Linked DNA regions of Xenopus tropicalis. The protein of the gene in region 2 interacts with the protein of the main gene of each other region in a pairwise test. Links are inferred from orthologs where the notes say so. Each region holds a gene or a part of one and is shown on either strand. Other genes may lie near its edges.

Evidence for each region.
Region 1: the proteins of rbpms (region 2) and cnnm3 interact in binary tests that used the Homo sapiens proteins (3 or more experiments, as listed by UniProt). The two-hybrid records come from large-scale screens. The link is inferred for Xenopus tropicalis from reciprocal best matches to the Homo sapiens genes RBPMS and CNNM3.
Region 3: the proteins of rbpms (region 2) and fbxl18 interact in a two-hybrid assay, tested with the Homo sapiens proteins (2 studies listed by BioGRID). The two-hybrid records come from large-scale screens. The link is inferred for Xenopus tropicalis from reciprocal best matches to the Homo sapiens genes RBPMS and FBXL18.
Region 4: the proteins of rbpms (region 2) and fam168a interact in binary tests that used the Homo sapiens proteins (3 or more experiments, as listed by UniProt). The two-hybrid records come from large-scale screens. The link is inferred for Xenopus tropicalis from reciprocal best matches to the Homo sapiens genes RBPMS and FAM168A.
Region 5: the proteins of rbpms (region 2) and sema4g interact in binary tests that used the Homo sapiens proteins (3 or more experiments, as listed by UniProt). The two-hybrid records come from large-scale screens. The link is inferred for Xenopus tropicalis from reciprocal best matches to the Homo sapiens genes RBPMS and SEMA4G.
Region 6: the proteins of rbpms (region 2) and otx1 interact in binary tests that used the Homo sapiens proteins (3 or more experiments, as listed by UniProt). The two-hybrid records come from large-scale screens. The link is inferred for Xenopus tropicalis from reciprocal best matches to the Homo sapiens genes RBPMS and OTX1.
Region 7: the proteins of rbpms (region 2) and gse1 interact in binary tests that used the Homo sapiens proteins (3 or more experiments, as listed by UniProt). The link is inferred for Xenopus tropicalis from reciprocal best matches to the Homo sapiens genes RBPMS and GSE1.

The regions. Positions count from the first base shown.
Region 1 is NC_030679.2:125,271,144-125,273,767, forward strand, and holds the end of cnnm3 (metal transporter CNNM3), read left to right. Parts: intron 1-958; exon of another isoform or gene 959-1,033; coding exon 1,034-1,200; 3' UTR 1,201-2,124; downstream 2,125-2,624. UniProt on the Homo sapiens protein: Probable metal transporter.
Region 2 is NC_030677.2:83,887,483-83,890,982, forward strand, and holds part of rbpms (RNA-binding protein with multiple splicing), read right to left. Parts: intron 1,106-3,500; coding exon 955-1,105; intron 1-954.
Region 3 is NC_030685.2:46,838,832-46,842,057, forward strand, and holds part of fbxl18 (F-box/LRR-repeat protein 18), read left to right. Parts: intron 1-2,564; coding exon 2,565-2,783; intron 2,784-3,226. UniProt on the Homo sapiens protein: Substrate-recognition component of the SCF (SKP1-CUL1-F-box protein)-type E3 ubiquitin ligase complex.
Region 4 is NC_030678.2:173,972,403-173,976,557, reverse strand, and holds the start of fam168a (protein FAM168A), read left to right. Parts: upstream 1-1,355; 5' UTR 1,356-1,519; intron 1,520-4,155.
Region 5 is NC_030683.2:29,615,179-29,618,678, forward strand, and holds part of sema4g (semaphorin-4G), read left to right. Parts: coding exon 1-682; 3' UTR 683-1,008; intron 1,009-3,500. UniProt on the Homo sapiens protein: Cell surface receptor for PLXNB2. May play a role in axon guidance.
Region 6 is NC_030681.2:32,910,940-32,913,671, reverse strand, and holds the end of otx1 (homeobox protein OTX1), read left to right. Parts: intron 1-430; coding exon 431-1,192; 3' UTR 1,193-2,232; downstream 2,233-2,732. UniProt on the Homo sapiens protein: Probably plays a role in the development of the brain and the sense organs. Can bind to the BCD target sequence (BTS): 5'-TCTAATCCC-3'.
Region 7 is NC_030680.2:64,870,816-64,874,315, reverse strand, and holds part of gse1 (genetic suppressor element 1), read left to right. Parts: intron 1-598; coding exon 599-774; intron 775-1,655; coding exon 1,656-1,853; intron 1,854-1,942; coding exon 1,943-2,122; intron 2,123-2,624; coding exon 2,625-2,959; intron 2,960-3,194; coding exon 3,195-3,500.

The DNA.
Region 1 (2,624 bases), on a different chromosome or scaffold from region 2:
CCCTGCATGTGTATATAAGTTCTCATTAGTCCGCTACCCCCTATTCGGGTTCAAGTACATTAGGAAGATTAATCATTAAGCAGATAGTTTAGATGGTAGACTCATTGTTCTAGTTTACAGTGAAGCCAAGATTAAAAAGGCACAGTGCCAAGCAATTTCTACCCCCAGTAAAGTAAAATATTTAGCCACAGAGAAGAAAAATGTCTTCCTGTCTGAAGATAACATGCTCAGATTTTGTCTGGTAGTTTTGTCCAATTTATATCACACTGCCCAACCATTGGGGTAATTTCAACAGTTAATTCTGCAATCCTGATGGATAGAGGATTATCTGGCCTGCCAGGAAATTTCCATTGGTCAGGTAGGATGTGGGGCTAAAGTTTCTTTTCACTACCTTTTCTTCTGACGGTTTGGGCAATGAGCCCAAATGGAATGGAAAAGTGGCCATACACATATCTAGCCACTTTTACAGTATACATCTGTTCAGGAGGGAGTGCTTGCCAGAACAAGAAAGGGGTACATTGAAACATGCAATGGCTAAAGTTGTAGGTCTAGCAAAACCAGCAGCTGAGCCTGCATCAATGTTTAAACACTAACCAGCAGGTATTAGATATGCCCTTGTATCACTATACTGTATAGATCAGCCTATGTATGGCCACCTTTAGGGCTCTGGCACACGGGGAGATTAGTCGCCCGCGACAAATCTCCCTGTTCGCAGGCGACTAATCTCCCCGAAATGCCATCCCACCTTGAGAGGAAACTTCCGCAATTTCCCTGAAATCGCGGCACCGCGTTTGCCATCCCACCAGCGATTTACATTTTCGCCGGTGAGATGGCATTTCGGGGAGATAAGTCACCCATGAACAGAGAGATTTGTCACGGGCGACTAATCTCCCCGTGTGCCGGAGCCCTTACAGGGCAAGCATATTTCTACCTGGATCAGTAACCTTGGACACATTCATTAGTTGAACACGATTTAGTAATAACTTTAATGACCTTATTATACAAATAGTAACTTATTCTATCTTGTTTGCAGAAAGCAGAAAAGAAATAACAACAGATACTTGGCCACAGAATGCTGGAGAGAAAGTGATGAAGGAGGAAATCATCTCTAATCCCCCATACCTTGAAAGCAAACCTGGTGCCCAGTCTCTCCCCCAACAGGGACCTGTTACTATAATGGAGAGCATTGTTATGTCCTAATAACAGCAGATTTCCGCCCAATGCCATACCTCCGTGCCATTATTATTATTTTTTTTTTTAAAGATAAAGTGCCCAAGCATTTTCTGGTCCTCGCTTGCTGGCCAGAGGGCTCCTCACTTTGCCGAGCTGCCAACAAGTTCAAGCAGGAAGAACAGTGACCAATTATTTCTCTCCCAGGAAGCAGCCTTGCAGGCACACAAGGGGCTAAGAAGACGTGCCACTGAGCTGTAAAGAAGAAACCGCAAGGTGTGAAGGTGTAGGGTTAATATTTTATAGAAGTTATAGACAATTGTTCTATGTTTATTTTGTATTAAGCAAATCAAGGACTTGGGATTGAGGTAATTGTAAGTATATACACATTATCCCAGTCATTGCACTAATCTTTGTAGTCTGTGTGCACCGACTGTGCCATGATTTCTAGTCAGGCCAGTTGCTGAAGTGACTGACCTGTATAAAACCTCCGTTTATTACAGCATTTATAAGAATGTAGCAAGCATAGTCAGCGTAAGCATTCCTTAACCTACACTGAGCATGATCACTTCATTTTGGATGTTTGTTCTATGCCAAGCTTGTAAATGGCTGCACTGCTGGGTACACAGACTATCGTATTTGGTGCCATACTTCCAGGGCTCAATGCAGGCAGTCTGTCCTCTCTTCTACTGTGAATACACCGAAGCTGGTCCATGTCTTTTTATACAAAGGATAGCACTGCTACTTTTTCCGGCTGTCTCCATAGCCCTTCCAGTACCATGGAGCAGACTAAGCATGTTCTTATGATACACAGCATTCTTGTCAAGGGTACGACATAGCGCTCCTCATTTTTAATACTAATCCATTTTACATCAACCAGGGGAAATCGCTCACCTCCTCCAACTAAACAGCTATGTTTGGATTTATTGAAAAATACAATGTTATATACACACACGTGCAGCCTTGCTGGTTTTCTTCACATTTTAACATTGGGAAATGCAACTGTTACAGACCTAAAACTAACAGCATGTCCTTAGTGAGATGATTATCCGGATCTGGAATAATGGGATAAAACCTTGGCCTCTATGCATTAGCCTCAGTATTAGCTGGAGCCATTCCTCCAGGTAAGTATATCAGAGCTGCTTCCAAGCACTTATATACAGGGGTTCCTTCTACAAACTGCTCTCCCTTCACTGTTCTGGAGAGGGCAGGTGGCGAAAACAGCGACTGTATAGCTGGTTTCCTGAGATACCTGCTGTCAGACAAGTACCTAAGGCCAGAAACTCATGGGAATGCCCAGTGAGACTTACTCTGACAACAGGCTATTTGAGAAGATTTATAGAATTTTTAGGCAATTTTTAAATAAAGGTTTAATTCTTCTTGTAATATATAATACTTAGGATGAGCAAATGACTTGTAGAAAGGAAAAAAAATGACATGCTTTCTTAGTATCT
Region 2 (3,500 bases):
TGCCACAGGTTTAGTCAATTATGTAAACTAATTTTAACATAGAATTTACTGGTCACATGGTTAAAAAAGAACATTTATTTTTACTTTATTTTGACATTATTTAGGGTTTCTTATGTGAAAATTCAAGTAAAATATTTGTAAAATATTTGTGGCACATCCTTCTTTAAATGGATCACATTTTCAGATATATGTTTTAATGGAAACCCCAGTCATGTTAGAATTGTATATTCTATGTACATCACAGATCAGGGCATTATCATAGTTCATGTTAAAAATCTTTCTCAATTTAAAGAAACAGTCAGGGTATCATAGATTAATATTCAGCGACTTTTTTTACATGCTACTAGCAAGATTAGAATCCAGGAAGAACCTAACAGCATTGACTGTGGGTAAATAGAAGCAAAAGTACAACCATTCAGGAAAGCTAATTACTATTAGTACTCGGCATATCATTTGTACAGTTTGGGTGACTGTAGAAAAACCTATTATTAATCTCTTCATCAGATGTTACTAGAGCAAGAAGGTGAAAGGTACAACAATGAATAGACTTCCGTTAACACACTGTGTAACCAGAATGGAATATAGGCCTTTATACAAGAGCAATGGACCAGACCCACAATATTTATATGTTCCTATAGCCTTTTAAATAGTTTTACTAGTAGAAATGTTGATTTAAAATGGAGACATTTCCTTCAACCGTGAATCTATTTTAAATGTGAGATTCAATCCATTCTGCATACTGTTCCTTTGTCTTTCTTATTTTTGTTCATAATTCCTGCATAGCATTCCCTTTCATTAACCCTCACATTAATCTTTCTCTTTTCAATCTTCATCAATATTTCATCCTTTACATGTGATATGGAACTTGCCTTCATGGAACTGTACATGATACTACAGTGATATTAATGGCTGCAAGTGATCAATTACAAAGTATTTCAGAGTATAAACACTTACACTGGTCCCTAGAGATAAACTGAGGTACGCTGTTCAGCTGAGGTGTGCTGGGATTTGGGGTGCCTACAAGCTTGCTCTTGGCCATCTTTGTGTTTGCCTTTGCAAACTCAAGGCGTAGCGTCTGAGGAATTTCTGGATCAAATCTGATTCCCTAAAAAACAACAAATAGTAAAACATTTTTTACTCCAAACAGAATGTTGTACATTGATCAGAGCATGATAAACAAGACATCATTGCAAATGAAAACACTTTATAGAAGAGCATACCCTGTTTATAATTAGTATTTACATTGATTTATTATTGCCAGCTGCAATCAGGTGTAAATTGGTTAGTGAAATGCTGTTAAATGGATGCAACTTGCAGTTGAGTGGGAAGAGGTACAGTAGATGAGGAGAGGGATGGAAAGAGAATTGAAAATGGCAGAGGTAGAAAAGAAATGACTTAAGTTTGGGCTGAAGTAAAACACTGTTCTAAAATAAATGAAATTCTGATTTCAACTTATTGTAATGTGTGTTTATATGTGTTACACTTACAGAAGTAGTAAATGAACATTTTCTTGACATTGAACACATTCTGGGACTTTACCCTTTGTCAGTTTAGGTTATACTCTGTGTTTCATGTGATACTTCTAGGCATAAATGTATAGATTTTTCAATTCAAGGATCCCTGCATGTCTCGTCTACAGATTTATACACTGCATCTTGGCTGCACTAATTAAACAAAACAATAAATAATAAAACTCTTACCCTTTCTTGGAAATCTGTTTAGAGGCTTACATATTAAAGAATAGCTCAAACAAGTCTTAGACTTGTGGGAACAATTTAATTACAGCAACAATAAGAAACTGTTCTTAATGGACCTTGAGGCACATTTACTAAATAATACCTTATAAGGGGATACAGAGAAATTAGGAAAACATAGCTGGAAATGTACTGTTTAGCCAATTATTGCAGGAGAAATACATAAATAACTTTAAAGAGACAACAAGTAAATGCCATTTTATTCTTATATTAAAAACATGCAAAAAAATTGGTAAAGCCTGAAAGTTAAAGCTGCCTAGAGCTACTTTAGAAAAAGTAATTTTATACTGATGTTCTGTAACTTTCACAGATTAAATTGCAACTACCATGCAGTCATTATAATAAACATCAGTGCAATCATTCAGGTCAGTGCAGGATTTCACCACCAAAGCTGTGAGACAAATCTAGATGACCCTATAGTCAGATCATAAGAGGCCCATGCAGCGCTGTCTAGGGTGGTCCTCACCCAAGGTGGGTTTCAGCATTATCAACTGACAAAAAAAGTCCCAATCGGCCGTGGATAATAATGACCATAATTCTGGCACCAGGCATGGGACAACAAGCTGCTCAGTAGACAATAACAGAGCATGAACGGCCATCTATCTATACATTAAGGGCAATTTTAAATTTTTTCCTGATTATTTGTACATAGTTAACACAACTTTTTGACCTTGGCCCTCACACTGTTTCTATCTAGCATTTATAAATGTATTTACATATATCTGTAAAACATAGGTGGAGAATAAAAAAGGTTGGTGTGACCCGGATAAAAGCACTCTGCCTGAGGCCTCATGTTTTTATATGGTCTTGTAACTCCTCAGTGACTTCTAATATTTTAATAAATTACAATAGGGGGTACATTATCCACTATACAGTATATACACACTACAACAGACAGGTATGAATTTGCCAGAGGAATTAGCCAAGTTGACCCTCTATGCTTTGTTTTGGCACACTCCTGCCCACCAGTCTTGTATACCCTAATAAGGCGACCACAGATTTGTGAAGATAGTATAGAAGAACCAATAGTCAACTCTGTAACTAAAAATTATTAAAGGTTTGTTTATTACAGGTTTACCAATACTGATCAAACTGTAGTATTTAAAATGTAATGTAATGCTTATACAACTATGCCAAATCAAGCACGATATACATAATAGTCACTTAGACAAAGAGTTAGAGCATATGCTCTTAGGAAAGGATATAAGCCCCATTTTTATTCAGAGGATCTTAATAAATGTATTCCTCTGTAATTATCCATAAAAAACACAACCACTTTTTTTTTGGTTTTGCAGTGACTGTACTTTTATGCATAAACATTCATAGGCACTAGGTATAACTAAGTAGTTTAGAGGGGATTACCTGTTCCATCTTGAAAAGCAAGGTCTGTGCCCAGTTCTCTGGGAACCTAGTAACATCCTACTCCTCTAAGGATCTACAGTAGCAGTAGCCACTAGCAGAGTCCAAAGCTTTGTCTGTTACTTTGAACTTACAGGAACTAGCTGACTCCTCAATCCCTAAATAAGGATGTATGGTTATGATGAAAGTGAAGATGATTAAGCACATGAATACAGTAAAACCACATCCCCATATATAAAGTTTTCCCACATTTTACAGTTTTTTTTCAGTATGAATTATTATTGGTTCCATCAATAACAATACACACTGCATTTCCCTGATTTTGCAATTTCACAGATTTTACACATTTTTCTGATCCCCTGTAATATATATATATAATTGGTGCTT
Region 3 (3,226 bases), on a different chromosome or scaffold from region 2:
CTCGCCCACTAATTGCAGACTCCTCACTCTTGTTCTGGTCTCAGGTGCAGCGTTCACCAAACTCCACACTGACACATGATTGAAATGAAAATTGCATTTTTCCAACCTATGTTACTATAATTGGGCAAAAGTATATAAAATAAAGGGGAATTTCTGCTTTTCTAGAAATCCACTAACTAATCCATTAATAAATGTTTTAAGTGTTTCACAAACAAGTTCATATTTTTTTTATTTTATATATTTAACAATTATTAACCCAATTTTTTTCTGACTACACAATCATGCTGTGAGTTGGTGACAAATTTGAATTATTCCACGTAGCTAATTTCAACTGAAAATATAAAAATTGTGTGGGAAAAAGCCATCTAATTTTCACACATGGTTTTCAGAAGTTTTTTTTTTTACTTGCTTTGTTTTTGAGTGCATTTCAGCTGAGTGAAAGTCTTCTCGTTTTAAAGCTCATGTCACACTTACTTTATCTGCTGATTCCACATGCATTACAAGGAACAGTATAGTAATGAGTAATGTGTTATTCAGAGAAAGGGTTATTGATCCTTTGTCTTTTGAGCCAGTGTGTGTAGTGTATATTTAGAATCGCTTCCATAAAGCAATACAAAGCTGCTTTTGTTTGACAGAAAAGAATACAGTGGATATTCGCATGAATACCACAAAAATGTATTTCTCTATGAAATAATAATTGCTAAAATCTTTTTTCAGCAGTAAGTTTTTAGCAGGCAATAGAAATATCAGTGCCTCTGACTAAATGTGCCAATAAGGATAGTAAAGGACCATATATGATTAGACCAGAGAAGTGCAGAGATGACAAATGGTCCGTCAACTAAAAGCATGCAGGATAAAATGAACTTTACTAAACGTGCTAATAGGAGGACCATTATCACTGTAACGTTTAACTAAAGTATATATATACAGTATATAGCTAAATGTGTGTAAAAAAAACTAATTGCATGTTGTCTCAGAATATCATTGTCTATGTTATAGTTAAAATGTTGCCCCTGCCTTACAATAATAATGTACAAATTGGTCTGCCACACTTTTGTATGTTATGTTTAAAAGTTAAAATAATAAAAAGACACCTTTTGTAAGTTAATTTATTTGTATACAACCCATTTAGAACCACTAGATCATTGTTGACTTGTGACTTGGTTGTGGGTGCTTAAACCAGCTTATTCTGTTTATCTCCTGTTTCCCTACAAGCTATGTAATTTCATCATCAAAAAATGTCCTTTGCCTCTCCAAACCAAGTAATGCTTTAGTATCTTTAAAGAACTGACAGCTAGCTTTTCCTGCAAATTGTGTAGATAACTTACTGGGTATTTCTGGATATTACCAATACCTTCACTTCAGGCATCTTCCTTAAAATATGCCTGTGGTTTTTCAGATCTTTTCATCTTCTTATCGGTCTTTACTGTACTGTAATAATTAAATCGCTATCCACATTAACTTATTGGGCGGGATACTCAGACTTTGGATAAGCTGCACTTTAAATGGGTTGTTTACCCATTGAGTTAACTTTTGGTATAATGTAGAGCAAAGGTCCCCAACCTTTTTTTTTTTACTTGTGAGCCACAATCCTGGCGTTCCCAAATAAGGGCTATTATTGGCTTTTTGGTAGCCCCTATCTGGACTGGCAGCCTACATGTTTGGCAGTACTTCTGGATTTAATGCAACCAAAACATGCCTTTAAGCCAGGAATTGAAAAATAGCACCTGCTTTGAGGCCATGGGAGCAACATGAAGGGGTTGGTGAGCAATATGTTGCTTGCGAGCCACTGTTTGGGGATTACTGATGTAGAGAGTAGTATTCTAATACAATTTCCAGTTACTCTTCATTCTTTATTTGTGTTTTTTCAATTAATTCACTTATCTGGTTGCTAGGGTTCAAATTACTTTAGCAACCAGGGAGTGGTGAATAGAAGAGGATCTAAATAGAAACATAAGTAATAAAAAGTAACAATACATAGTAACATAGTAAGTTAGGTTGAAAAAAGACATCCATCCATCCATCACATTCAACCATAATGCCTATATATAACCTGCCTAACTTCTAGTTGATCCAGATTACAATAACAATAAAATTGTAACCTCACAGAGCAATATTTTTCTGTTGATGGGGTCAGTGACCCCATTTGAAAGTTGGAAAGACTAAGATAAAGAGGGCAAATAATTCAGAAATTATAAAAAATGAAGACCAACTGAAAAGTTTTTTTTTTTAGAATTGGCCATTCAATAACATAATACATGTTTGTGAGTTTGTAAACTCCTTTTTTGTTTTCTGTTAGTTGTGTGATAGCTGTAAATTGAGTATTGCTTGTGATCTAAACATTGCGTGCAAATGTGTGTTTAGTTTTTACTAAACTGGTTCAGTATAAGTTTTAGGGACTTAGGGAAGGATAGGCTTCTCACTATTTAGGGCAAACAAAATAGTTAGAAAAAAAACATTTTTATGAATGTTTTACCCCTTTAGTAGAATGCTTAAATATTTGATGCATGTATTTGAGTCTGAAAGTCTGAGTCTGTAATTTTTGTTTTTTATTTCTGTGTTAGATTGGAGCAACCATATTTTTCTGCAAACGGTCAATTCTTTCAGGCCCTTAGTCACTGTTCATCTCTACAGCGCTTGTGCATTGTATCTCACAATGGAAAGTTCCAGCCTGATGCAGTGATCTCCTTTATCAGTTCTTGTCCTAGTCTTGTTGTATGCCACATGTTTACAGGAGAAACTCTGAAATCATGCAGGAATCTTCAGCAGTGCATTAAACAAAGGTAAGCATGCTATCTTTTGTAGAGTTAATTGTAAACTTTTTACCTGCAGTCAAGGGCGCTGCTTCCATGAGGCAATTTGAGATACTCGCCTCAGGCGGCAGTGCCCTGCAAGTTACCAGGAGCAGCAAAAAGCCTAACTTTTTTTAATAACTTTTGCCTAGTACTAAATAATGCAAACTATAAGATTGACGCAGGATGCTGCCACTTTGCAGAGTAATTTGACAAAATTGAAAAACTGAGCAGGAAAATGAGGTTCAATGTTGAAAAGTGCAAAGTTCCCATTCTAACTGTGATGACCGTAAAGAGGTGCCTACAGCACATGCTTGATTGATATTAATTGGAGCGGAGGCAGTGAGCATGCCCACTCACTCTTCATAGCTGGAGAGGGAAGGAGGGCTCAGGAAGGACGGAACTTTATACTAGGCAAGGAAGTCAGTAAAAGA
Region 4 (4,155 bases), on a different chromosome or scaffold from region 2:
ATGGTGCCCGTGGCAGGCCGGATACGGATAATCCATGTAATGCGGCAAAACCGCAGCAGCCTCTCAGCTACACAGGAATAAGACTACCTTTTGGAGCACTCGCCCAGCACCTAATCTGGGAACTGGCACTTATATTGTAGTGTCACCCACTGTGACCTACAGCACTTATATTTGCCTACTTGTGTCTGTAAGTTACCCTCCCATATAGATTGTAAGCTCTACGGGGCAGGGACCTCCATCCTCTTGTGTCCTCGACTCTTAACTTATTGCTGATGTATTTATCTGTATTTATTATTATACTTTGTATTTATCTATTATCTTATTAACCCCCTGTTTGTATTAATGTATTCTACTGTACAGCGCTGCGTACATAAGTAGCAATTATAAATAAAGGGTTATGGGAGATAGCTCTCAGTACTAGTTGATCCAGGGACTGGTCCGATTGCCATCTTGGAGTCAGGAAGGAATTTTTTCCCCTCTGCGGCAAATTAGAGAGGCTTCAGATGGGGTTTTTTGCCTTCCTCTGGATCAACTAGTAGTTAGGCAGGTTAGGTATAGGCATTATGGTTGAACTTGATGGACGTATTTCTTTTTTCAACCCAACTTACTATGTTACTATGTTACTATATACATACATACATAAGTCCACCTCACCTCTCAGCTACACAGGAATAAATCCACCTCACCTCTCAGCGGGGAACCCTACAGCTCACGCGCCGCCGCCATGTAACCATTCTCACTCCTCTATATGGAACGTTCATCTGCACAAATGAATCTCGTACAGTCACAAATCCGGGGGAACGTGGGGAGGCCCAGTATTCGCATTGGATCGAGGGGAAGCTGACTGAAATAGAATAAGGACATGAATTAAAGGAGAAATACGCCATTTTCAAAGCTTTGTTAATCCTAAAAGGTTTTGTTCACCTTTAAATTAACTATTAGTACGTAGTAAGGAAGGCGATTCTGAAACAATTAGCACTTGGTCTTCATTTTTTTATTATTTGTGGTTTTTTAACTATTTAGCTTTTTATTCAGGGACTCCCCAGTTTGCAATTTATGCAGCTGTATGGTTGCTACAGTCCAAATTACCCTAGAAACCAGACTATATAGTGTCACTGCCCTCCATCTCCCAGGCAGTGAGTGAGGGAAGGCGGCCCAGTCAGAGCCCTATATAGGGTCAGAGCCAGCCCCGCCCATCTCCCAGGCAGTGAGTGAGGGAAGGCGGCCCCGCCCATCTCCCAGGCAGTGAGTGAGGGAAGGCGGCCCCGCCCATCTCCCAGGCAGTGAGTGAGGGAAGGCGGCCCCGCCCATCTCCCAGGCAGTGAGTGACGGAAGAGAATGTACCGCCCACCCAGGTTATGGCGGAGGTGATGTCACAGTGACAGGCCACTTCCCGCCTCCCCATTGCCGTAGCCCCGCCCCCGCATCTCTGAATGCCCGGAGAGAGGAGACGGACTGTGCAGCCTGACTCACGGACATCCTGCGCTACGGAACGGCATAGCCAGAGTGGAACGGCCCGGTGAGTACGGGGGGCTGCAAGGGACACGGCCTGGGGGCCGGGGAGTCAGTTTGGGGGGTGTAGGGCCGAGACGGGCAGCAGGGCCCCGGGAGAACTGGGGGCGGGGAGAGAGGGGGGGCAGGTGCAGGGGGGTGGGGGGGAGTTACTGTATCTGCCCCATAATAACATAGCCCTGGGGTAGGATTGTGATGTGTGGGGGGAGGGGGCAACTATATATAATTGGGGGGGGGGGGCAGTTCTGTACCCCATGGTATGTTGGTGGCTAGAGGCATGCCGGGATAATGGGGGTCCGTAACCTCCGGGGCAGAGAGGATGCCGGGATTGGAGCGGATTCTGCTGTGTGTGGGGAAGGTTATTGTGTGTGTGTGTGTGTGTGTGTGTGTGTGTGTTAGGTGCAGGCATTGTGGGTAATACTGGGGGTGTCAGGGAAAGAACACTGGGGGGGGGGATGCTGTGTGTGTGTGTGTATAGCCACATGAAAGCACAAACATAATGTATATATGTGTATATGATTTCATGTGTGTGGTTATTATATATATATATGTGTGTGTGTGTGTGTGGGAGGGGGGGGGCGGCTGGCAGTGTTGGTGCTGGGGGAATACTGATGGAGGGATATCAGGCAGGGGGGGGGGGGCAGTGCTTTGATGCTGAGGATGATGATGGTGACGGGGAGGCAGCGCCGGGATGGGTACCGGCCTTATTATATGCTGCTGGGGGGCAAACAACTGCCTATGGGGATTAGGGTTTGTGTCAGGGGTATTTATATGGGTCAGGGGGTGGGAGACTGGGCGGGGGGGGGGATATACATGGGGCTGGGGGTATGGCGCTGTGCTGGGTGATATATATATATATATATACACAAAAAGATCAGCGACACCAGGATTTTTTTTTAGGGAAAAACCAAATGTGTATTTAGCAGTAACACACATAACTGTATTATCTTTGTGCAATGATGTTTTGGTATATGGGTTATTTATTGGGTATTTTGTCCAGTACTGTATGAAGGGGGCTGCTATGGGGGGGGGTACTTGTGAGGGTCTCTGTGATGGAGAGAAATATACTGTTATGGCAGATGATTTCACAGTAGTGACGTGCCAGGCAATAGTATGTAGGGGCCAGTGGGGGGGGGCGGTATGGTAGGGCCAGGGGGGCTGGTATCATAGGGGTGGTATGGTAGTGCCAGGGTGGCGTTATGGTGGGGCCAGGGGGTTGGTATCATGGCGTCAGTATCATAGGGGCAGTATGGTAGGGCCGGGGGGTGCAGTATGGTAGGGCTGGTGCGGTTTCATAGGGGCAGTATGGTAGGGCCGGGGGGCAGTATGGTAGGGCCAGGGGGTTGGTATCATGGGGTCAGTATCATAGGGGCAGTATGGTAGGGCAAGGGGGTTGGTATGGTAGGGCCAGGCGCTCGGTATCATGGGGCAGTATGGTAGAGCCAGGGAGGGGGTCGGTATGGTAGGGGCAGGGGGGTCGGTATGGTAGGGGCAGGGGGGTCGGTATGGTAGGGGCAGGGGGTCGGTATGGTAGGGGCAGGGGGTCGGTATGGTAGGGGCAGGGGGTCGGTATGGTAGGGGCAGGGGGTCGATATGGTAGGGGCGGGATGGTAGGGGCAGGGTGGGCGGTATCATAGGGGCAGGGGGTCGATATGGTAAGGCCAGAGGGTCAGTATGGTAGGGGCAGGGGGGTCGGTAGGGGCGGGATGGTAGGGGCAGGGGGGCCGGTACAGTAGGGGCAGGGGACAGTGTAGCTGGTTGGTACTGGGATGGCGGTTCTGGGATGGGACACAATATAAAGGATTGCTGATGGGGCAGGTAATACTCACGGGGTGCCAATATGAAGGGTTATAATATGGGGGTACTGTAAAGCAGTGCTGGGCAACAGGGAAGATTTCAGGGGGGCTGGTGTGGCCCCGGGCTATTCAGCATTATGTCCCTCGCTGGGAGTAGTGCGGATCCGTGTGCCTTGTGGTTTCTCCAGCCACTGACTGTAGCGCTGCTGTATGTGGGGCCTGGGGGTTATGGGATGTTGTGCGGATACAATAGCAATAGTTCTGGGTTCCAGAACATCATCATGGAGGCCGCAGCTGCACATTAGGGCCATAAATGGCTCCTGGGCCTCCTGTAGGGCTTCATAGAATAATCATGGTGGAGGTATGTGTATCAGTAGTAATGCTGGGGGTGCTGGGAGGGACTTTACTAAAAATTATTTTGGGGGTTTAGCAAATAGTATTTCTCCTTACCTTACTATATGCGCCTCTCTGCTCCTTACCTTACTATATGCCCCTCTCTGCTCCTTACCTTACTATATGCGCCTCTCTGCTCCTTACCTTACTATATGCGCCTCTCTGCTCCTTGCCTTACTATATGCGCCTCTCTGCTCCTTGCCTTACTATATGCCCCTCTCTGCTCCTTACCTTACTATATGCGCCTCTCTGCTCCTTACCTTACTATATGCCCCTCTCTGCTCCTTACCTTACTATATGCGCCTCTCTGCTCCTTACCTTACTATATGCGCCTCTCTGCTCCTTGCCTTACTATATGCGCCTCTCTGCTCCTTGCCTTACTATATGCGCCTCTCTGCTCCTTGCCTTACTATATGCGCCTCTCTGCTCCTTACCTTACTATATGCGCCTCTCT
Region 5 (3,500 bases), on a different chromosome or scaffold from region 2:
CGATGGTCTTTTAATTACCGACACTCTCCCGGAGCACAGTGGCGAGTACAGCTGTTACTCAGAAGAGAACGGATTGCAGTCTTTGGTAGCAGTGTATTCTCTAAATGTCCTCTTGGAGCTTCCAAAAGAGAAGAACTATTCCACGCCAACACCGATAATCCAACTGCCAACAGCTGCCCCTCAGTCTACTGGTAATATTCAATTCATCTACATTTCCACAATCACCATTCTCGGTGTTCTGTGCGTCGTCCTCTCTATTGTTTTGTTATATGTGTCTTGCCAGCAGAAAAAGAAGGGTAAGTATGCTGTGAGAAACTCTCGCTCCACAAATGTTGAGCTTCAGACTGTATCATCTCAGTTTAAAGAAAAGGCAGAGGACTTGAACAGTTATTCTGATGGGTGCCTGCAGATCATCCCTGGAGAGGCACCCACACTGTCTCCCCACAAAGACATGCCTCCGCCCCCACCTCCACCACCTCCATTGCCCTCGGAGTTCACCAATGGAATAAGCACTCTACCCAACATGCTTAGGAAAATGAATGGCAACAGTTATATGCTTCTTAGACAGAATGAGGAGTCCAGCCTACCCTCATACAATTCTTTTACAGAGGAGCTCAGCAAGATCCTTGAGAAGAGGAAACATACACAACTGGTTGAAAAATTGGATGAAAGTTCTGTGTAGTATAGACTGAAAAAATACAAAGAACTAAACCTCATCTACCTCAATGGCAATTTTTAAAAAAATTACATTTTATAATATATTGTTTTTTTATTTTAACCCACATTACATATTTAAAAAAAAAACCAAAAACCTTGAAGCATTATAAGTACGAAATGGCCACCTCAGTTTGGAGACATTGGCTTTTCCACCAGCCTGTGGGCTTAAGCTTTGTTGAATAAATCATAAACTCGTGGGAAGGATTAGGCACGTCCAGCTGAGGCAGAAATCTGGATCCTGTTTGGTTTGGGAAAAAGTTACACATCAAACTACACCAAATTACACATCAGGTAGGTAAAAAAATAAAATAAGACAAAATGTTTTTATGTAATACTTTCATTAATCAGTTACATTTGTAACTGTTGCCATATTAACTCCTATATGTAATAACAGGCACTAAGTTTGCCAATGAGCAGTAACCCATAGCAACCAATAAAATGCTGACTGGTTGTTATGGGTTATTGGACCTGGCAAACTTAACATCTTTTATTACATGGCCCCATTAGTCTGCTAACCCTGTCTAACATTTGCTACCAGATGTTTTTAGATTACAGTGTTATAGTATTATAGGCATAGAATATGCACATGATGATGGTCTTGTGCTAAATCAATAGTTTATAGGAGGTATCCTCAAGGCAGTTTTATTTCACCTCTGTCAGTATGTGATGCATATAATTTATTAACTGAGTTAAACATAGTGGCAGGCTCGTGCAAGTCATTTCAGGCTTCCCAGAGCTTCACAGATGATCCTGGTAATCAGTGCTGGAGCTAGGGATAGACAGGGCTGGAGCTAGGGATAGACAGGGCTGGAGCTAGGGATAGACAGGGCTGGAGCTAGGGATAGACAGGGCTGGAGCTAGGGATAGACAGGGCTGGAGCTAGGGATAGACAGGGCTGGAGCTAGGGATAGACAGGGCTGGAGCTAGGGATAGACAGGGCTGGAGCTAGGGATAGACAGGACAGACACATGCCAGAGGGTAGGCGTATGTGTGGGCTTGTGGGTGCAGGGCTATTGCCTTGGGCTTCAATACAGGTATGGGACCTGTTGTACAGAATTCTATCTTCTTATTACAGAGAAAAAGGAAATCATTTTTTAAAATGTGAATTATTTGATTAAAAAAGAGTGTTTAGAAGATGGTCTTCCTGTAATTCAAATCTTTCTGGATAGCGGGTCTCATACCTGTACTACTTGGCCCGGCTCTACTGGCTATAAACAGTGTGTTGCATTGACTTCAATGAGCTGTAGACACATATCATTCCATTATTTTGGGACCACAAACTTTTTTGCATAATAATAGAAAATATCACTGTAAGCAACTTTCAGTTATGCATTCATCATAGAGTTTCAGTGGATTTTAAGTTATTTTGTTAATAAAAACTGAAATAAAGTAACCTTTTGCCATTACATATGTGAATATTTCATATTTTAGACTTTTTTTTTTTTTTTTAATAATTTTTAACTTATGCTTTATAAATAGTAAAATATGTTCTACTCTCTGTGCCCAATCTACATAGTAAGTCCAAGCTACTACAGGGTCGGACTGGGGGGTGCAGAGGCCTTAGGGGCCCCCCCACCTCCCACCAGGACCCTGAGCTACTATATGATTCTACAAAGCATGGGCACTTTCCTGGCAAAGATTATATTATTTCCATTGAAATCCAAGATAAACCTAGTTCAGGTTTCCTCCCTTCAGCTTCGCTATATTTAGTTTTATCTAGATAAAAGCTGTGCCGCAGCCAGTCTTCTGCCAAGAACAGAGAAACTTCTGCTGTGAAATGTAAATTGTGAGAGAAGATTTCCAGCTTGGATGTGTTACAAATAAGTAAACCCCTCTGGGGGGAAATATTGTGAATTAGAGGAGTCATTTTGTGCATCTTTTTTATCATAATGCATTATTCATTAGCAAACCATTGTTTGTTATACGGACATCCATCCTGCATCTGTAAATAATCATTGTTGCCTCAATTCCTCAACCTCAGACAGGGCGCTGGGAGGGGGTTGTGGTTAGGGAAGCTGCTTTGTTAAAGGGGCAGTATTCCCCCTGTTGGTTCAACATGAGTGCAGTGAGTAGGGCTTGTGCTGAGATTACTCTTTGCCTATAGTTTTTAGGAATCCAGGATTTGGCCTTTTTCAGCAGGATTCACATTCTACCAAATCCAAGTGCCTAGCCGAACTGAATTCAAATCCTTTAACACAGATGTTGAATTTTTTTTTTCTGTGCACACAGTTTTCTTTAACCCCTGCAAATTAGGATTCGGCAGAATCCCAAAATAGTGCAATAGTCTTGAATAAAGCAAGAATAGTCATAACGTATGTATCTACACTGACGTCCTTTTCTGAATATACTGGCATAATAGCGTCCAGTGCAAAATGTTAGCGCCTCTCCTTGAAAATGAGGCAGATAGGGGCAATCAGGAGAATTAGTCGCTTTGCTTTAGTCGACTAATCTCCCCGCAACGCCATCCCACTGGCTGGAATGTAAATCGGCGGTGGGATGGCATACGTGTCGCTGCGATATCCCGAAGTCGGCCAAAGTTGTCTTGAGAGGAAACTCCGGGCAACTTTGGGACATCGCAGCGTCAAAGATTTGTTGTGGGGCGACTAATCTCCCCATGTGCCACTGCCCTAAGGGTGAAGACACACAGAGCTACTAGTAGCAGCTACTTGTCGTGGCTACTAAAAAAGACAATGCTGATAATTGTCTCTACATGTGTTTTAGTAGAGGCAATTCTCAGTATTGTCTATGGCAGGATATTTTCTGGTGTTTTAGTAACCATGAAA
Region 6 (2,732 bases), on a different chromosome or scaffold from region 2:
TAGGGCTAGAGTCAAATTTAGGAAATAAGTACAAATGACTGCAGTATTGTGTGTCTATGTAGATTTTCATTCATGCAGGTCATGGTATATCTAGTATAAATAAATTTGAAGCAACTGGACTTGTTTAGTAATCATTGAAGACGTTTCACTACTCATCCGAGCAGCTTCTTCAGTTCAACTGAAGAAGCTGCTCGGATGAGTAGTGAAACGTCTTCAATGATTACTAAACAAGTCCAGTTGCTTCAAATTTATTTATACTAGATATACAGTATTGTGTATATTGGTGATTAGAGCTGGGCAGTGTGGCTGGCCGCCATGCAGTTAGGTGCTGGGCCGTGTGGCTGGCCGCCATGCAGTTAGGTGCTGGGCCGTGTGGCTGGCCACCTTGCAGTACATTGGCCTAATCCGCTCCCTTTTGCCTTTCCTGCAGGTCTGGTTTAAGAACCGCAGAGCCAAGTGTCGGCAGCAGCAGCAGCAACAGCAGAGCAGCAGCGGGGCGGGAGTGAAGAGCAGACCGGCCAAGAAGAAGTGCAGCCCGGCCAGAGAGAGTTCGGGGTCGGAGAGCAGCGGCCAGTTCACTCCCCCCGCGGTGCCCAGCTCCGGCTCTTCCTCCTCGTCCTCCTCTTCCAGTTCCAATTCATCCGGGAACCCCGGCCTGGCTACAGCCCCGCTGAATGGCAGCACCTCCACAGCCTCCTCCATCTGGAGCCCGGCCTCCATTTCTCCGGGCACTGGCCCTGGGTCTGGCCCCGACCCCTTGGGAACAGGCAGCGCCTCCTGCATGCAACGCTCTGGCTCCTCATCTGCAGCTTCCTACCCCATGTCCTACAGTCAGGCAGCCGGCTACACCCAGGGCTATCCTGCCCCTTCTTCCTCCTACTTCAGCGGGGTGGATTGCAGCTCTTACCTGGCACCAATGCATTCTCACCATCACCCTCACCAGCTGAGCCCCATGGCCCCTTCCTCCATGTCTGGCCACCATCATCATCATCACCACCTGAGCCAGACCTCCAGCCATCACCACCACCACCACCATCACCAGGGCTATACCGGCACAGGCTTGCCCTTTAACTCCTCTGACTGTCTGGACTATAAGGAACAAGCCGCAGCGTCTTCTTGGAAACTCAACTTTAATTCCACCGACTGTCTGGACTACAAAGATCAGTCCTCCTGGAGGTTCCAGGTCTTGTGAGCAATCAGAGACCATTTCTGCCTGCCATCCTCTTAAATATATATATATATATAAATATATGAATAAAGTATATGTGGAAGTGCTGTGCCAGGCTTGCCTCCAGCTGGAGTGAAGGACATGAATGAACAATATATATATTTTTTAATCTGCTTGTGGGCTAGAATTCTGAATATATGAATTAACTGTGCCTGTACAAAATGGATAGATATCCCACCAGTGTTCTTCACCATTTAGTGGTTTTATTTATTCACTGTCTGGACCTGGGATTTGGACAAATGTCTGCCTTTGATGTGCTCTCAGTACAGCCCTGGGACCTGTGGCTAATCTAATGTTTTAACCCAAAGTTTCTCATTCTATAAAGTGCAAGGGGCAGGTGTGTTGTGCCCAGTCTGTATAGAGCCCTTCCCCTGAGGTTTATATGATGTAGGACTCATTTAGCTTCTTGCTGCCCAGGCGGCTGGAATATGTACATATTTATTTAGGTCCGTTTGTAGGACCCTTTATTTTTAGTTTATATTATTGGTTTGATTTCCGGACTTCTAACTACAGCCCCACCATTAATAACCCCTTTACTGGAGACCAAACCTCTTGCATATTAGATGTTGTGGCGTTTCCCCACTCTATTTATTAAATACAAAGTCTTGGAGACTGAAAAAGAATGAAGTTTCATGCACCCCCGTGTTCCTGAGAATGTGCTCGCCCGAGTCTGGCTTATTGCACTTTGTGTAGAGTCCACACTTGTCTGTCACTGGGAAATCGCACCCACGTTTGTTTAACGGGACAGCTCTCAGTATGTGTATTGTCACTCACATTTACTTTCTTTCAATCCCATTAGTGTCACCGCTATTCCTGCTTTTCTTACATTCTGTCCGGGCAGCACTTGCATTTGTGTCACTGAAAATTTGGCTCTGTTTGTCCCTGTGTAGGTGAGGAAAATTCTGTTTGTACATTTGGTGCTCCACAATGGCTATCGATGTAAGGAAAAGTCATTTCTACATACCCCCCATCCTTTCAAATAAAAATCAAACTAATGAAAGTGAGTTTATGGTGTCGCTTTATTGTTAGTTGTGAATGCAAAGTCTGTGTGTTTAGGCGCTGTTTGTCAAGAGTGCCAGGTTGTCTAGCTGGTCTCAGGGAAATCTGCCAGGCCCTATCAGCCAGTACAGTAACCAGTGAAGTAATAAGGTGCCCTGTGTGCCCAGGCCGCCCTGGCGCCTACAGAAAGCTTTGCTTGGCTCTTGCGCCTAGAGAAATGTCGCACCAGTATCGCCAGGAAACGCTCTGCTAAGGGAATCATCGCCTCAGTTCTGGTGAAGGTTTTTATTAATCCTTCTTGGTTTTGCTGTAAATCAGCGGTATATCCGTAAAGTTAACAAATATTAAACCCTCAATTAGCGCCAGTCACATTCCAGGATCAATAATATACCAAATGAATTAAAACGCGAATGCAGTCTGGTAAGGACCTAACTATCGCAACTACTATATCGTGTCATCTTTGCAGTTAATACAAGGATCACATTCGGGCCACAAGGCTACGAAT
Region 7 (3,500 bases), on a different chromosome or scaffold from region 2:
GCTCCTGGGATACCTTTAAACCTTTGGGGGAGGGACTATCTGATCTAGGGGCGGGGGCAGGGGGTGCCCCTAGGTGTAATGCTGATATGGGGAGTGGCCAGGAAAAGTATTTATAAAGCACTAACATATTCTGCAGTGCTGTACAATGCAAGGGTGTGTTCATCAAGCATTCATATTACATAAAAAATGCTGACAGATACAGGTGGTTAATAGGGTCCGGCTCATTAGAGCTTACGTTCTAAAGCGGCATTGCTGTGTTATATCTGGCCTGCATTGAAATACATGGGTCTACAGCTCCTCCAACTATTATTACTGTTACATTGTGTGAATATAAGTATAAAATGAAGCATTGAACTGGTCAGTAAACAGGTAATAGCTGATATTGAATATTGGTACTTTGCTGTATATTCAAAGAAAATACATCTCAAAGCAACCTAGAAATAGTTCTAATCACAGACCACAGAGGTAGATAGACCTGATTAAAAATGGACTGCAAAAGCTCTGTTCCTATCTCAAAACATAATTAAATGGGTTGCTGTAACCTCGGTATATTGCAATAAATGTTACTGATTGTAATATTTGTATATTTTCCCCTCAGCCAGATGCTTCCTCCCGAACCAGCAGCCTCAGCAGAGATCGACTTCTATCTGAATCACAACTGCCCCCTGAGAAGAGTGGCACAACCTCTGTCCCCTCCCACCTGCTTGGAAATGCTTATGCCTTTGCCATTCCACCCAGCGCTGTTGTCCAAGATGCACGCTTCCAGCCCTTAAAGTGAGCAGGCATTATGCTAGTCTTTGATGCATGTATATGTTTTGCGCTCTTAGTTAATTAAGACAAGTAGGATTCTGCAGTCTGCACATTTGGTGTGACTGGCAAACAGGCTGGTCTCTAGCTTGTTTAGTCATGTGCAACAGAGGGATGCATTTGGCGATGTATAGGATCATATGAGCCCTCAGTGGCAAAGCTGAATGTCACTTACAATGACCAGTGCTGCCATCGGCTACTAGACTTTATTCACCTTCTCTATTGATATAGGGTACCTAATATGTGATGAATTTTCTTTATACACAGAGGTATATTTATCAAAGGGTGAAATCAACCTCGCTACAGAGGAAAATATCATAGCTTTCTCTCTCTCAATGTCCCCTCTAATTTCTTCTTAAATTCAAGTATTTTGTGCGCACCACATTTTATTGTGTGTGTTGGGAACATTGTCTCTGTTCACTTCTATTGGGCATGTCCCTTTGTTAAACACTCCCCTAAAAATCTTATGCTGCCCTTGTACCATGTTTTTACATCTCCCACTGGTTGCTCAGTTGGTGGGTGTCAGGTTACTATTTCCAAGGGAAGAGGCTTAGTTAATACTAGTCTAGGTAGAAGTGGTGATGGAACCAGATGGAGAAGGAAGTAGTAGTAGTAGGCTACCATTTATATAGAAGACGTCCTGTAACAATAAATAAAGAGTTGTGCCAATGAGCTATAAAACCACCCAAAATTCTTAGTGGAATCTGAGGGTACCAACTCTGTGACGTTGCAGTAATAAGCTAAGTATCTGGTAATTCTGTGAATAAATTCCCTATTACCGTTACTCTATTATTAGCAAGAAAATGGCATTGAAAAAAGCAGGATTAATAGTTTCCTTTTAATTCCAGCTTGCAGCGGCCAGTACCTCATGTGGTCCCTCAAAGTGCAGTCACTGAGGAATATCTGCGCAGTTTCCGCCCATACCACACAGCTGAAGATCTGCGTATGCCCTCACTGCCCCACATTGGCCTGGATCCCGCAACTGCAGCAGCATATTATCATCCCAGTTATCTGGCCCACCACACTTTTCCTCACCCAGCATTTAGGTAATTAAAAGTATTTTTTAAATAAGAAAACTTATTGGAGCTCTCCAGCCACTATGAAAGGATCCCATTTTCTTGCTCTGTCATTCTAGGATGGATGATTCCTACTGCTTGTCTGCCCTGAGGTCCCCATTTTATCCTCTTCACAACCCTGGATCTCTCCCACCCTTGCACCCATCTATGCACCTTCACCTCCGATATCCCACAGAGCTTACACATTCATCATTGTCTGCACTGCAGTCAGAACGTATCCAGAGCCTTACAGCAGAGAGGTAAGAGAATAAATGGCACAGTGCCCCAAATGATGATAGCATCCTTTTTTTTTTTTTTTTTTTTTTTTTTTTTTTTTTACTTTTGGTAACAAAGATAAATGCTCTTGCTGGCTTGTTTTGTGATTATGGCACTGTATTACATTCAAATATATATATATATGCAAAATGCAGGTGCTCCCCTTGAAACCTTTTAACTTAAAAACACATCATTTTACATGGATTAAATAATAATATTATATATATATATTATATATATTGTTTGGTTTGTCCCTGAGGAAGAGCACAGTTGGTGCTCGAAACGTTGGATCGTTTTCATTAAAGAAATTTTTTGTTTTCTAAAAAAGTCCCTGCGTGTGCGGCTCATTGTCTTGCTATATATATATATATATATATAATATTATTATTTAATCCATGTAAAATTATGTGTTTTTAAGTTAAAAGGTTTCAAGGGGAGCAGCTGCATTTTGGTGAGGCAATATATAAACTATGATTGCTTTTGTAGGCTTCAAATGGATGAAGAACTAAGGCAGCGGGAAAGAGAGAGGGAGAGGGAGCGCGAGCGGGAGCGAGAAAAAGAGAGAGAAGCTGACCGGGAGAGAGAAAAAGAACGGGAACGCGAGAGGGAAAGGGAGCGGGAGAAGAAAGAAATGGAGCGAGAGAAGGAACGCGAGAGAGAGAGAGAAATGGAGAGACAACGAGAAAGGACTAGAGAGAAGGAAGCCAACCTTATAAAAAGTATAGAGAACCAATTTCTGCCTGAATCAGAGGTCCATCCACTCAGGGGTCATCAAGAAGAGCGTGCAAAACCTGCTGAACAGCCCACTCCAAATAGACATGGTAGGTTCCCAGCTCCAACAGGATACAGTCAACACTGAGCCATTTTCACTTTTAATTTCACTACAAAGCTATACATTGTAATGCATTTTGCCATGCAAGCTTTAACTATACAAGTGTACTTACAGTTTAGTTATGTTTGTGTGGAGGCACTTAGTGTTCCCCTTTTTGTCCTAAGGTGGTCTTCTGTATAGCTTAAAGGTCAACGCTATTATTTATTTTTTTTTAACTTCTGCAGAGAAGCTGAAGGAATCCTCTCTCTCATCTTCTAAGCTTATCCAGCTCCCAATACAACAGCCCCAGGCCACACAGCATTCTGTGCCCAGCCTCATTTCCAATCATGCTACCTTCACTCCACCTGGCAACAGTGCAGCAGCCTCTCTTCTGGCACAGAGGACACAGGAAGAGGAAAAGTGGTTAGCTAGGCAGCGACGTCTCAGACAGGAGAAAGAAGACCGCCAATACCAAGTCTCAGAATTTCGTCAGCAAGTACTGGAGCAGCAGTTGGATATTGGAGGTCGACCTATTAGCCAGCTGGAGACTG